Linked DNA regions of Canis lupus familiaris. The protein of the gene in region 1 purifies or fractionates together with the protein of each later gene. This does not show direct contact. Links are inferred from orthologs where the notes say so. Each region holds a gene or a part of one and is shown in the gene's direction. Other genes may lie near its edges.

Evidence for each region. Proteins that work in one complex are often made in the same cells at the same time.
Region 2: the proteins of RAB7A (region 1) and VDAC1 purify together in Homo sapiens (affinity purification with mass spectrometry; 3 studies listed by BioGRID and IntAct, with this or other methods). This does not show direct contact. The link is inferred for Canis lupus familiaris from reciprocal best matches to the Homo sapiens genes RAB7A and VDAC1.
Region 3: the proteins of RAB7A (region 1) and ARL8B purify together in Homo sapiens (affinity purification with mass spectrometry; 4 studies listed by BioGRID and IntAct, with this or other methods). This does not show direct contact. The link is inferred for Canis lupus familiaris from reciprocal best matches to the Homo sapiens genes RAB7A and ARL8B.

What each region holds. Positions count from the first base shown.
Region 1 is NC_049241.1:2,781,983-2,786,117, forward strand, and holds the start of RAB7A (ras-related protein Rab-7a), read left to right. Parts: upstream 1-1,330; 5' UTR 1,331-1,339; coding exon 1,340-1,392; intron 1,393-3,078; coding exon 3,079-3,205; intron 3,206-4,135.
Region 2 is NC_049232.1:22,230,504-22,234,563, reverse strand, and holds the start of VDAC1 (voltage-dependent anion-selective channel protein 1), read left to right. Parts: upstream 1-1,252; 5' UTR 1,253-1,273; intron 1,274-1,797; exon of another isoform or gene 1,798-1,897; intron 1,898-4,060. UniProt on the Homo sapiens protein: Non-selective voltage-gated ion channel that mediates the transport of anions and cations through the mitochondrion outer membrane and plasma membrane.
Region 3 is NC_049241.1:12,598,813-12,603,068, reverse strand, and holds the start of ARL8B (ADP-ribosylation factor-like protein 8B), read left to right. Parts: upstream 1-1,448; 5' UTR 1,449-1,646; coding exon 1,647-1,769; intron 1,770-4,256. UniProt on the Homo sapiens protein: Small GTPase which cycles between active GTP-bound and inactive GDP-bound states.

The sequences.
Region 1 (4,135 bases):
CTGATTATAGAGAAGAATGCAGGCCTTCTGCTGGGGATTCCAGCTGTCTGAGGAGTGATCCTCCAGCAGTCTTAGGTAAGTTGCTAACATTGGAGTCCGGAATATAGGACTCCTGCTTTTCTGAAACTCAGAATCAGGTTCAGGAGACCAAGGGATAATTAAGACAGGAACCCTGCCTTAGTAAGTAAATAGGGGCAGATTTCTGGAATAGAGATAAGCAAAAATGAGGCATCTTACATATTGTCTAGCCAGGCTGCCTGAAAGGTTCTTTCTTTTCTTTTCTTTTCTTTTCTTTTCTTTTCTTTTCTTTTCTTTTCTTTTCTTTCTTTCTTTCTTTTTTTTTTGATTTTTTTTTATTTATTCATGAGAGGCACACACAGAGAGCGAGGCAGAAACACAGGCAGAGGGAGAAGCAAGCTCCATGCAGAGAGCCCAATGTGGGACTCGATCCCCCATCTCCAGGATCAGGCCCCGGGCTGAAGGCAGCCCTAAACCACTGAGCCACCTGGGCTGCCCTGAAAGGTTTTCTAGAAAAGGGTGATCTCAAGAGCTGCAGGTCAACAAGTATTGTTCTCACACCAACCCCAATTTTTTTTTAATTTTTTTTTTTTTTTTTTTTTTTATGATAGAGAGAGAGAGAGAGGCAGAGACACAGGCAGAGGGAGAAGCAGGCTCCATGCACCGGGAGCCCGATGTGGGATTCGATCCCGGGTCTCCAGGATCGTGCCCTGGGCCAAAGGCAGGCGCCAAACCGCTGTGCCCCCAGGGATCCCCCAACCCCAATATTTGATAATTGTTCTCTACTTGGCACTGGAGATGCAGTGGGGAATAAAACTGTCTTGGTGGAAGTTGTTGGAGAAGGGAGAAAACAAATTAATAGATTTGGATGTCAAGTAGTGGTAAGTGCTCTGAAGAAAAAAAGTAAGGCAATGTAAAGGGTTAGAGAGCAGATGGGGAGAGGGTGTGCCACTTTAGATAAAGTGATCATGTCTCTGAGGAAGTGCTATGTGAGCAGAGACTTGAATGAAGCAGGGCCTAGTTGTTAAATTGAACATTAATCCACAGTGATCCAGCAACATCTGAGAGGGAGAATCCATCCTTTTAGACTGCTCCAAGGGGCAGGATGACCCTGCCTCTCATGATTTTGCCCAGCTTGTGTCCAAAGTTCTAAGATTGATTCTGCTTTCTGTCTGGTCCCCCTGGGTGGCAGGGAAATAGCTAAATGGGAAGGCTTAGTGCTCCTGGGGCTGTGTTGATGCTTGTACAGAGGGATGAGGTTTGCCTGGGTATTTCTGTCACGCTCACAAGTACTTTCTCCTTTCTCCTTTTAGTTTGAAGGATGACCTCTAGGAAGAAAGTGTTGCTGAAGGTTATCATCCTGGGAGATTCTGGGTAAGTTTGAAGTAACAGATTGGTTTGGATTAAATGTGACTTTGAAGCCATGCCCTCCCTGCTCACATTTGCCACTTCTCTAATAGTAGTGGCAGTAGGGTTCTAGGTCTCTTGCCATTTCCAGCACAGCAGATTTTTTTTTTTTAAGCACAGCAGAAATTTTAATGATCTCTTAGTCTGTAATCCTTGGTTCCCTGGTCTTTGGCATGATTTAGGGGAAGGAGTAGCCATTTAAACTCAAGAACGGTTTCACTGGAATCTCTTTTTTCTGAGCTGATTAGACAAGGGAGTTCTGTTCATGTGTAGATTTGTTGCCACTGACCTCATGCCTACCAGTTGTGGGTTTGGAGTCTGGATACAGCTGTGCAGTATCTTCCCACTACTGGGTCTGATTTGGGGTGTATCTGAAAGAACCTGCGACTGGAAAACTGGGTTCTGATCCTAGATCTGCCACTAATTAAGTGACTAACTCTTCAGTAGCTGTTAACGATTCTGTGGGAGGCTTTTCAGACTCAGCATCTGATGTGACCTGGAAACCTTAGACCAACTAGAAGCTATGTATTTTTTTTAAATGATGATGATGATGATGATGATGATGATGATAAATCCAGGTGTGCCTCCTTACACGAAAGTTCCCTGCCCTTTAAGAAGGCAGTGATTTTTCTACCCTGTCTGGCTTTTCTGATTGCCCTGAGGAGCTTTTCAAAAGTAAGCATTTTTCCAGACCATTGTGTTGGGCCTCATTGGCAGTACTTAAATACATATATCTCTCTGTCTCCCTCCTCCCTCCTTCCTGGTGACCACTGTGCTGTCAGGAATGAAAGGTACTGTTTTAGGCCCAAACTTGCATGGGAAAAATCACCGGGCCTTTATTTGATTAGAGACCTCCTGACCTCTCCCCTGAAAATTCAGACCCAGGTGACCTGGATTGGAGAACACTGCCTTAAGCCATAACTTACTTCCAGGTCCTCTGCCTATGAAGATGAATATGTTCCTTAGAGGGAAAGGAAGGTGATCCTGTTGACTTGGAAGAAGACTTTTATGTTATCTTCAGCCTGCCCTAACTAATCTCATCACCAAAAAAAATCCACACATTGTCTCTTACTGAGTTTTCTTACTGAAAAACTTCCCTGGAGGAGCTTACTCTGAGGTAGATTCTGATTTGGTGGGAATATTGATGCTTTCCTCACTTCAGATTTTAATCTTTGAAGTAGCAGGTGGCTGACTGGCATATATGTCTGCTCATAGCCAGTGACTTTCTCCTGCTATTACTTTCTTGGACTGAATATCAGCCCCTAAATGGAGAGACACCCAGGACAGCAGAGATATTTTTAGAATGGTGGCAGGATCTTATTGCTGTAGCTTCTTTTAGAAAGAGAGTATTTGCTGACATCTTTCTGGAAGGAAAAAAATAATACTAAGTTCTACCATCTGAGTTACTTGTACCAAAACTTAAGAGCAGCTTTTCAACATCTGATCCACATCTATAGCCCTGTACTTTTGTTCCAGGAGAAAATAAAACCTCGAATGAGTAACACTGAGCAGTTTGCTGGCACTATCCTCTGTTGTGATTACAGTTGCTTGTTATCCTTTAAGCTGGCAAGTATCTTCAGAGCTGCAAATATCAGAATCATTTTTCTGCCCCTTCTAACTTGACCTATACTTGTGGTTTTTCTCCAATTTCAGAGTTGGTAAGACATCACTCATGAACCAGTATGTGAACAAGAAATTCAGTAATCAGTACAAAGCTACAATAGGAGCAGACTTTCTGACAAAGGAGGTGATGGTGGATGACAGACTAGTTACAATGCAGGTAAGCACACATCTCAACTTTGTCACCCAAGCCTTGTTCATTCAGTCTGAACTCTTTTGTTCATGCCTAGGCATTTTCCCACCCCATTCCTCATTTCCCACTACTATATTCATGGATAATTGGTCGCAGGTAGGATGGCCAGATACAAATACAGGACATCAGGTATGACCCAGGCATTGCATGAGACATACTAGAAATTTTTCATTGGTTTTCCAAAGTTCAAATTTAATTGGAGTTCCTGGTTTTTTGTTGGTTTGGTTTGTGTTTTTTGTTTTTGCTGAATTTGATAACATACAGGCCCAAACTTTTGTCTCCAAAATGTTTAACTCATTCCTTTCTCTTAATATCCCCACATGGGGGACGCCTGGGTGGCTCAGCAGTTGAGCGTCTGACTTTGGCTCAGAGCATGATCCCGGGGTCTGGGATCAAGTCTCGAATCAGGCTCCCCTTGGGGAGCCTGCCTCTCTCTCTGTCTGTGTCTCTGGGTGCTCCCCCCCCCGCCCATGTCTCATGAATAAAGAAATAAAATCTTAAAAACAAAAATCGCCACATAGTATTTTAGGTCAGAATATCTTTGGGTCTCTCCTAGATTCTTATAGTAGCTGTTAATGTAGTTTCCCTGTTTTTCTGACTTTTAATCTGTCCTATCTATAGCCACCAACTTTGTATTTCTGTTAAGTTAGCCTGGCTTTTTTGTGTATCACCTTACTTTAATCTTTCAGGGGGTTTCCCTTGCAACAGTTAGGATAAAATACACATTCCTTAATATGACCTTTTGAAAGTCTTTGCATTCTGACTACAAACTATTCTTCACTTTTTGTCTTTTTCCAGTCCTTCCAAACCATGTGCTGCTTTTAACAAGCTGTCGTTGCACCTGTCTGCCTCCATCCCAACCCCTTTGTCCCATCTCCATCCCAACCCCTTTGTCCC
Region 2 (4,060 bases), on another chromosome or scaffold:
GTCAGGGATGGAGTTAGCTCCATCAAAGCTTATGGAATGACTGGAGAGAGAGAAGGGTCATTCCCTCCAAAGAAACACTGTTATACCTGACCTGGGTTTATTAGCTCATAATTGCAAGGGAGGACCTGATTGGCTGCTCTTGGGTCAGGTGCCCCCCCTCCAGTCCGAACCTGGCAAGAAAGAAGGAAGGTGGGGCTGGAGGTGGCAGAGCCAAGCCTGGCATAACCTGCTGCCTGGTTCAGCTCTTCCTTTGGGGCTGTGGTGGGGAGCAGTCAACACTAGGGTCTGAGGATGCCATGTTGCACCAGATTTCTTCAGTGTTTTTGGAGTGCTTGCTTCCCATTTTAAACTTGCCCCAACCCTCTGAAATTGCAGCTGAGCAGTTAGCCCAGTTGCCCAGAGTCACACAGCCAGTGAGTCAAAGAACACTCGTGTGATTCATCTGAAAGTGACACCTGGGGGAGCCCCAGAAGGGACCCAGAGCAGGTGGGGTATGGGGAACTCTTCCCACAATCAGGGTCCTGAAAGGTGGTTTGGCAAGGAGGTGCTGGAGAGGAGGGGAACACTTAGGACCTTTGGTCCAAGCATCACACCTGGGCTTTACTGACCCAGGGTGAGATATCTGCTCCTAGCTCCTGTGACATTTCTGGAGCCCCATCTTCCCCTAGAGCTATCTGGCTCTGCCCTGCCTCCTTGAGGTCCTGTCCTCCCAAAGGCGGCTTTCCTGCGCTCATGGGTGACTCAGTGGCTTTCCTTGCCTCACCCTCTCCAGGAGTGTGCCGGGGCCTTTGTGTGTGGAGCGGGAATGACCAGGCTGGGAAGCTCTGAGCCCTCCAGTTAGCCATGGAGCAGCTCGTGGGCCTGGGGAGAGTTCCAGCATGAGCGCTCCACGCTCCAGGACCTCAGGGGGTTTAGCGTGCTTAGACCAGAGACCCCTACAGAGCCCGGTGCACTTTGCACCGCCCCCGCCCCCCCCTTCCCAACCCCATAAGCTGGTGCCCTTCTTCTCGGCATCCGGGCCCCATCGGAACACCAGTCAGTTGCCTTTTCCTCCTCCCGCTGCCCTCGGCCCAGCAGCCTGTCCTCTGGCCTCTGCCGCCGCCCCAGCCGCCTGCTCCTTTAATCGGCGCCACAGCTGGTGGTGAGCGAGCGTCGGGGTCCCGGAGCCCCTGCCTCCTCCACGGGCCCCGAGGCGCGGAGAACGAACGTTTGTTGGCGGAGGCCAAAGCCGCGCAGCCCCTCCGACCGGCCACGAGGCTCTGCGCAATTCTGGGTGACGGAGGCCGCCGGCTCGGGCGGGGCGGGGGCTCCCCGGGGGCCCGGGCTGGCTCCCGCCTCCCGTCTGCGCTCTCGGGCTCCCAGCGGGGGACGTTCTGCCGAAGCGCGGTTTGCTGTTTTCACTTCGCAAAAGCTCCGAAAATGGCCACTGGCAGTCTCGCTCCCGGGGAAAGTGCCTGCTACTCTGGAGCGCAAAAGCTCGGCGCACCCGGGTTGCTCGGCGCTTGGCCCTCGGCCGCCGCGGCCGGCACGCGTGTCCCCGCGCACGCACCCCTCGCGCGCCGCCTCGTCCCGCGCCGGGGCCCTCGCCGCCCCCCTCCGCGCGCCCGCACTCGCCCGGGGCACCGCGTCGGGGCAGGCGCCGAGGGCGCGCGGAGGGGGCGGCGGGCGCGGGCGCGGGCGCGGGCGCGGGGACCGGGCCCCGGCCTGGGCGGTGTCCGGGGCGGGCCCAGGGGCGGGGCTCGCGTGCCCGGGTGCGCAGGGTCGGGGCGGGTCCGCGCCGCCGCCGTCCGCGCCGCCCCGCCCCGCCCTCGGCCCGGCCGTGCGCTCGGTTCCTCGCGCAGCAGCCTCCGCGGTAGGTGCCGCCGAGCCCGCCGCCGAGCCCGCCGCCGCCCGCGAGGTAGGCACCTCGGCCGGGGACCCGCGCCCCGCAGGCGCCCGGGGGGGCGGGCCGGGCCGCGGGAGCTGAGCGGGAGGCGGTGGAGGGAGGAGCCGCGCGGACGGGGGGCCGAGGGCCGGGCCGGGCCGGGCCGGGCGGCGCGGGGGAGCGGAGCGGGGCGGGAGCGGGGCGGGAGCGGGGCGGGAGCGGGGCGCCCCGCGAGGGCCTGGGCGGGCAGCGGCGGGCGCAGCAGGCCTCGGCGGGCGGCCCGGGCGGGGAGCGGGCGGCCGGACGCCCCGGGGCGCCTGCGGCTGGGGCTCGAGCCTGCGGGGACCGCGGGGACCGCGGGCGGAAGGGCACGGGCCGCGCGTGAGGGCCCGGCCGGCTGCAGGTCTCGGTGACCTTTGCCGGCGGCGCCCTCTGGACCTGGGTCCCGCCCTCGCGGCCCGGCGGGGGACCGCCCGCCACCCACGCTCGCCGGGCTCGGCCCACGGACCGGCGCGGGCCATGCGGTGGCCGCGGGGATGAGCCGCTGTGATGACCGAGGCCCAGCCCGGCCCCGGCCCCGGCCCCGGCCCCCGCACCGGCCCCCGGCCCCCGGCCCCGCACGCCCTGCCCGGCCCGTGGGTGCACGCCCAGGGACGCTGGCGCCCGGCCTTGTCCGCGGGTCCTAGGCCTCTAGGGCCCGGGCGGGGGGCTAGGCCTTGGGAAGGGAGGCCCGGCGGGAGCGGGATGTGGCCTCCTTGGCCTCTGGAGCGCCTCCCGGTTTGTTTGCTCGTTCATTCACGGAGCGCGGCGGCGCCTTCACGAAACTGGCTCGGAGCCCTTGGATTTCCGGACTTGCAATCCCAGTGACTTGTCCAAGGTCACACTCAGCAGGCCTGAGTGCTCTCATCTGTAGAATAGGAGCAGTTACAGCTCTCCCTCGTTGGGTTTTTGGGAAGAATAAAATGAGTTGGTCAACACGAAGCCTTCAGGGGAAAGCTGGACAGCCTTGAGGCTTTTTGGGAGGATTTAGCCCATCCTCTGCAGACCATTTTACTCCACGTGGTGTTCTGGAAAGGGTTCAATAAACAGCCAGCTGCTGTTATTTTAAACATTATTACTAAGCACTTGTATACTGGGCACTGAGTAATTTTCAGGATAATTCATGAAAAATCCTTATAGAAGTTTATAGACAGACAAGGTCAGGCTGAAGCAGGAAGTTGCCTTTGGGTGCAGAGCTGAGGGAAGCCTAGCCTTGTTTGACCCATTCCCTTGACCAGCCTCACCTCTCTGGAGGAGATAGAGAATGGATCCCTCCTTTTCTGCATTCACTGTTGGCAAGGCCAGGGCAGACTGCCCAGGGCTTGCCTTGTTTCTCCAGCCCAGCTCTGGACTGAGTTCTACAGGGTTAGGCTTAAGCCTTATGCAGCTTTGTTTTCAGCGCCTGGGGTGGTGCCACTTGACCCACATTAGGTACTTGAGAAGGGTCTGTGGGGGCAAATGCAATCTTGCTTTTTATCCAAGAAGCAACTCACCCTTACTGAGAGAAGGATAGTTTTTACGATGGCAGCATGTGGCTTAGAGTAGGTGCTCATTAAGTATTTGTGAAATTATTGAATGGGCATATGTAGTGGATGCAGGCCCAGACCAGAGTTTCTTGATCTTGGACATCCTAAGGGACACACACTCATTCACTTCCAGCAAATACCCTTGCTTAGGAGAGAGTCACAGATATTTAAAGACTCGCAGTTGAATGTACAGCCCTGGAGCACTGAGATGCAGATCTGTTTCCTTTTTTTTTTTTTTTTTTAAGATTTTTAAATTTTATTTATTCATAGAGACAGAGAGAGAGGCAGAGACACAGGCAGAGGGAGAAGCGGGCTCCCTGCAGGGAGCCCGATGTGGGATTCGATCCTGGGTCTCCAGGATCACGACCCAGGCTGTAGGCGGTGCTAAACCACTGCGCCACCGGGGCTGCCCGCAGATCTGTTTCCTAATTTGAAATCTGCTTTAAACCTATTACCTTCGTTATGTGACTTTTTCACATCCTGTGGGAAACTTGTAGAACTGGTGTTTCTGGGCCTGCAGGGTGGTGGTGGTGGGGTGACCCCAGTGAGTCGGGATTCTCCTAAGGTTTTGGGCCTGGTGCTTTTCCTCTTTCTGATGAGTGGATTGGTAAAATGCTTGACCCTGGAGATT
Region 3 (4,256 bases), about 9.8 Mb from region 1:
AGAGAGAGAGGCAGAGACACAGGCAGAGGGAGAAGCAGGCTCCATGCAGGGAGCCCAACGTGGGACTGGATCCAGGGACTCTGGGATCATGCCCTGAGCCAAAGGTGGTGCTACACTGCTGAGCCACGCAGGGATCCCCAATTTAAATTTTTTTGTATATTTTTTATTGGAGTTCAATTTGCCAACATATAGCATAACACCCAGTGCTCATCCTGCCAAGTGCCCCCCTCAATGCCCATCACCCAGTCACCCCAACCGCCTGCCCACCTCCCTTCCACCACCCCTTATTCATTTCCCAGAGTTAGGAGTCTCTCATGTTCTGTATTTCTCACTGATTCTTTCTTTCTTTCTTTCTTTCTTTCTTTCTTTCTTTCTTTCTTTCTTTCTTTCTTTCTTTCTTTCTTTCTTTCTTTCTTCCTTCCTTCCTTCCTTCCTTCCTTCCTTTTTCTTTCTTTCTTTCTTTCTTTCTTTCTTTCTTTCTTTCTTTCTTTCTTTCTTTCTTTCTTCTTTTTTAAATATTTATTTATTTATTTATTTATGATAGACATAGAAAGAGAGAGAGAGAGGCAGAGACACAGGAGGATGGAGCAGGCTCCATGCACCGGGAGCCTGATGCGGGACTCGATCCCGGGTCTCCAGGATTGCGCCCTGGGCCAAAGGCAGGTGCTAAAACACTGAGCCACCCAGGGATCCCCCTCTCACTGATACTTTCACTCATTTTCTCTCCTTTCCCTTTATTCCCTTTCACTAATTTTTATATTCCCCAAATGAATGAGACCATATAATGTTTGTCCTTCTCCGATTGACTTGCTTCACTCAGCATAATACCCTCCAGTTCCATCCACGTCGAAGCAAATGGTGGGTATTCATCCTTTCTCATGGCTGAGTAATATTCCACTGTATACATAGACCACATCTTCTTTATCCACTCATCTTTCGATGGACCCCTAGGCTCCTCCCACAGTTTGGCTACTGTGGACATTGCTGCTAGAAACACCGGGGTGCAGGTGACCTGCCGTTTCCCTGCATCTGCATCTTTGGGGTAAATCCCCAGCAGTGCAATGGCTGGGTCGCACACTCGGGGTTTTTTTAAATCGGTTCCCCCTTGATACAACACTTAGGGCTTCCCATCTTTTGCGACGACCAAAAATGTAGGAAGAGGTCTTCGCTGCATGGCGAGTGGCTCGCGCGTTGAAGACTTTCCGCGGAGAGCCGACTGTCCATAAACGGTTGCAGCAAGAGCGAGCTGACCCCTGTTAGGAGCCAGCCAGCAGCGCAGGTGGGGAGCCCTGGGGCCGCTCCCAGGGCCGCTCCCCGGTACGCGGCGCTTCGCGGAGGCTCCAGCAGGTGGCGCTGCAGGCGGCAGCCGCGCCCGGCCGCCCGGGCCACGTCGCTCTTGCCGTGGGCGCCGCCGGTGGCGCGGGGACGAGCGTGGGGGGCAGGGCGAGTCATATGACCCGCTCGGCTTCCTGGCTCCGGCCGCCGCCGCCCGCCCGTGTCCGCCAGTGGTGCGCCGCGGCCCCGAGGAGCCGTTGAGGGGTCGGGGCTGAGGCCCGCTCGAGTGGAAGCCGTCGCTGCCGCCGCCGCCGCCGCCGCCGCCGCCCGCCCGCCCGGCCGCCCGCGCGTTCTCCCTCCCGGCCGCCATCATGCTGGCGCTCATCTCCCGCCTGCTGGACTGGTTTCGCTCGCTCTTCTGGAAGGAGGAGATGGAGCTGACGCTGGTGGGGCTGCAGTACTCGGGCAAGACCACCTTCGTCAATGTCATCGCGGTGAGTGCCGCCGTCCGCGAGTCCGGCCCGGCGCCGGCCCGAAGGCCCGGGCCGGGGCTGCCGTCAGCGCGACGGGGCTAATGGGAGTGGGACGAGGGGAGGAGGTCAGCCGTTCCTGCCCCCTCCGCGGGCTGGGGCCGGGGGCCGGGGGCCGGGGTTCCCGCGTGCTGTGGTGCGCCGCGCCCGGCCGCCGCCTTCTGCAAAGGGCCGGCCGGGTCCTCCTCGCGGGCGGGGGCTTGGAAGGGGCACACGTTGGCCTCGTCGCGCCTGTAGGGATGGGGGTCTGCGCATCGGGTTTGCTCCGGGGCGGGGGTGGGGGGACACCTGAAGGCTTCGCTCCAGCCTGCACTTCCCCGAAGGGTGGGATTTGGCGAGCTGTCAGCCCCGTGAGAAAGCGTGAGGCTCGGAGCGTCTCTCAAGTGGCCGCTCGGGACGGGGAGCGCCGTGGTGCGGGGAGCAGCAGGCCGGCGCGGGGCGCCTTCCCGAGCACCGCGGACGGGATGTCTCCCTGTAACGCAGTTTACTGGTTTTCAGTGGTCCCCCTGGGGGCGGAGAGCAAGTTCAGCGCTGCCTGGGCTCGCCGGTAGGGACTGGGGAGGGGCGCTTCCAGCCCGTCCAGTGCTCGGTGGTCCGCAGCATTTATTAAGCCAAGCAGTTAAGGGGGGGGGGGGGGGCTTCTGCTTCTCCAGGGAAAGGGTGTCTAGGAGGGAGCTTGCCCTGGGAACCTGTATTGCACGCAGTGTGGTGCTTATTTAGTCAGCCTCGGTTGAGTGGAAGGATGATGATTGAATTTTGCTTGGGTGGTTAGTTGCGGGGAAGGAATAAGAGAGAAAGATGCTCTTCCATCTCAGTTTAGAGGCCCGGAGTTGATGTGACTCACTTGTAGCTGATAGGTGCTCGTACTTGTCAGGCATGAGCTTTGGAACTGTTTTAAAGAGAGAGGGCAGCAGTTCTTCCATCTTTTAGAGATGGTGGTTGAAATCCTTATTTCATAGACCAGTGGCCCAACTGGTTTGGTTACAGGAATGATTCAAACACAGCTCCCTTGTGGGAGAAAATATGTAACGTGTGACTCTTAGTCCTGCAGTAGTGGAGCAGCAGGAGTGAGTAAGACTTGAAGAAAAAGACGAGCAGAGATCCAGACTTCCTTTGAGGAACGTTGCATATAAGTATAAAAGAAAATTTGCCTACTTGTTTGGCTCCTCTTTGGCTCCTCTAGTGATGTGGTGGTGGTGGTGATGTTTTGGGTTTTGTTTTGGCTTGGGATGACTAACTTTTCAACATATATAGTAGAGTGGAAAGTATATGATAGCACCAAAATTAGTTTGAAATCCCTGTGGAGGGATCCCTGGGTGGCGCAGCGGTTTGGCGCCTGCCTTTGGCCCGGGGCGCGATCCTGGAGACCCGGGATCGAATCCCACGTCGGGCTCCCGGTGCATGGAGCCTGCTTCTCCCTCTGCCTGTGTCTCTGCCTCTCTCCCTCTCTGTGTGACTATCATAAATAAATAAAAATTAAAGAAAAATCCCTGTAGATTAAATATTCATACTAGAGCTTTTATAGGATATGGGAAAGACTTAGTTAACTGTAAATTTTCTGGTGTTCTCTTGAGAGATAAGAATTGGAATCTCCTTGTAAACCTGATTTTTTTTTTTTTACAAGACTGAATTAATATATAGTGTAGATGTAGGTGTATTACTACAATTAATTGTTGTATTTGTTGCAGAGTAGTTATTCTTGGGAAACTTGAAAAAGTTTAGTAAGTCTTTGAAGAACTTCTAAAGGCCTGAGCATGAAAATTATGCTTATTATGTTCTTTTTTTTTTTTTTTTTTTTAAGATTTTATTTGTTTACCCATGAGAGGCAGGAGAGAGAGGCAGAGACACAGGCAGAGGGAGAAGCAGGCTCCATGCACCGGGAGCCTGATGCAGGACTCGATCCCAGGCCCCAGGGATCACCGGCAGAGGCTCAACCACTGAACCACCCAGGCGCCCCTTATTATGTTTTTCATAGATGGTGTAGTTTATTATAATGAGCAAGAACTTTGAAGTCAAGGAACTCTGGGTTTGCAATCTGGCTCTTCCACTCAGCAGCCTTGTATCTTCTTTCAGTCCTCCTTGATTTCTCATCTATTAAATAGAGATAATAATATGTTTCTTAAAGAGTTGTTCTGGGAAGTAAATGAAATGACACATAGTAAGTGACTAGCACCAAGCCTGCCCATAGAAGGGGCTGGGTAAGTGGTAGCTGTTGTTATTTGTAGCCAATACATTGCTTCTTTAATGCAGAAACAGTGTTTTGAAAAATATTCAGAAGGGAATTAGCTGGGTTCATTTCCTTCTTTGAATCTGATTTATCCAAATGTGTGCTCCAAGAGTGGATTTATGGACTGTGGCAAATAATCATATCATGTACTCTCCCCCCCCCCCCCGCCCCAATTTAAAAAATATATTAGATTATTTTAACAGCAGAGCTTCTGGAACACTGTT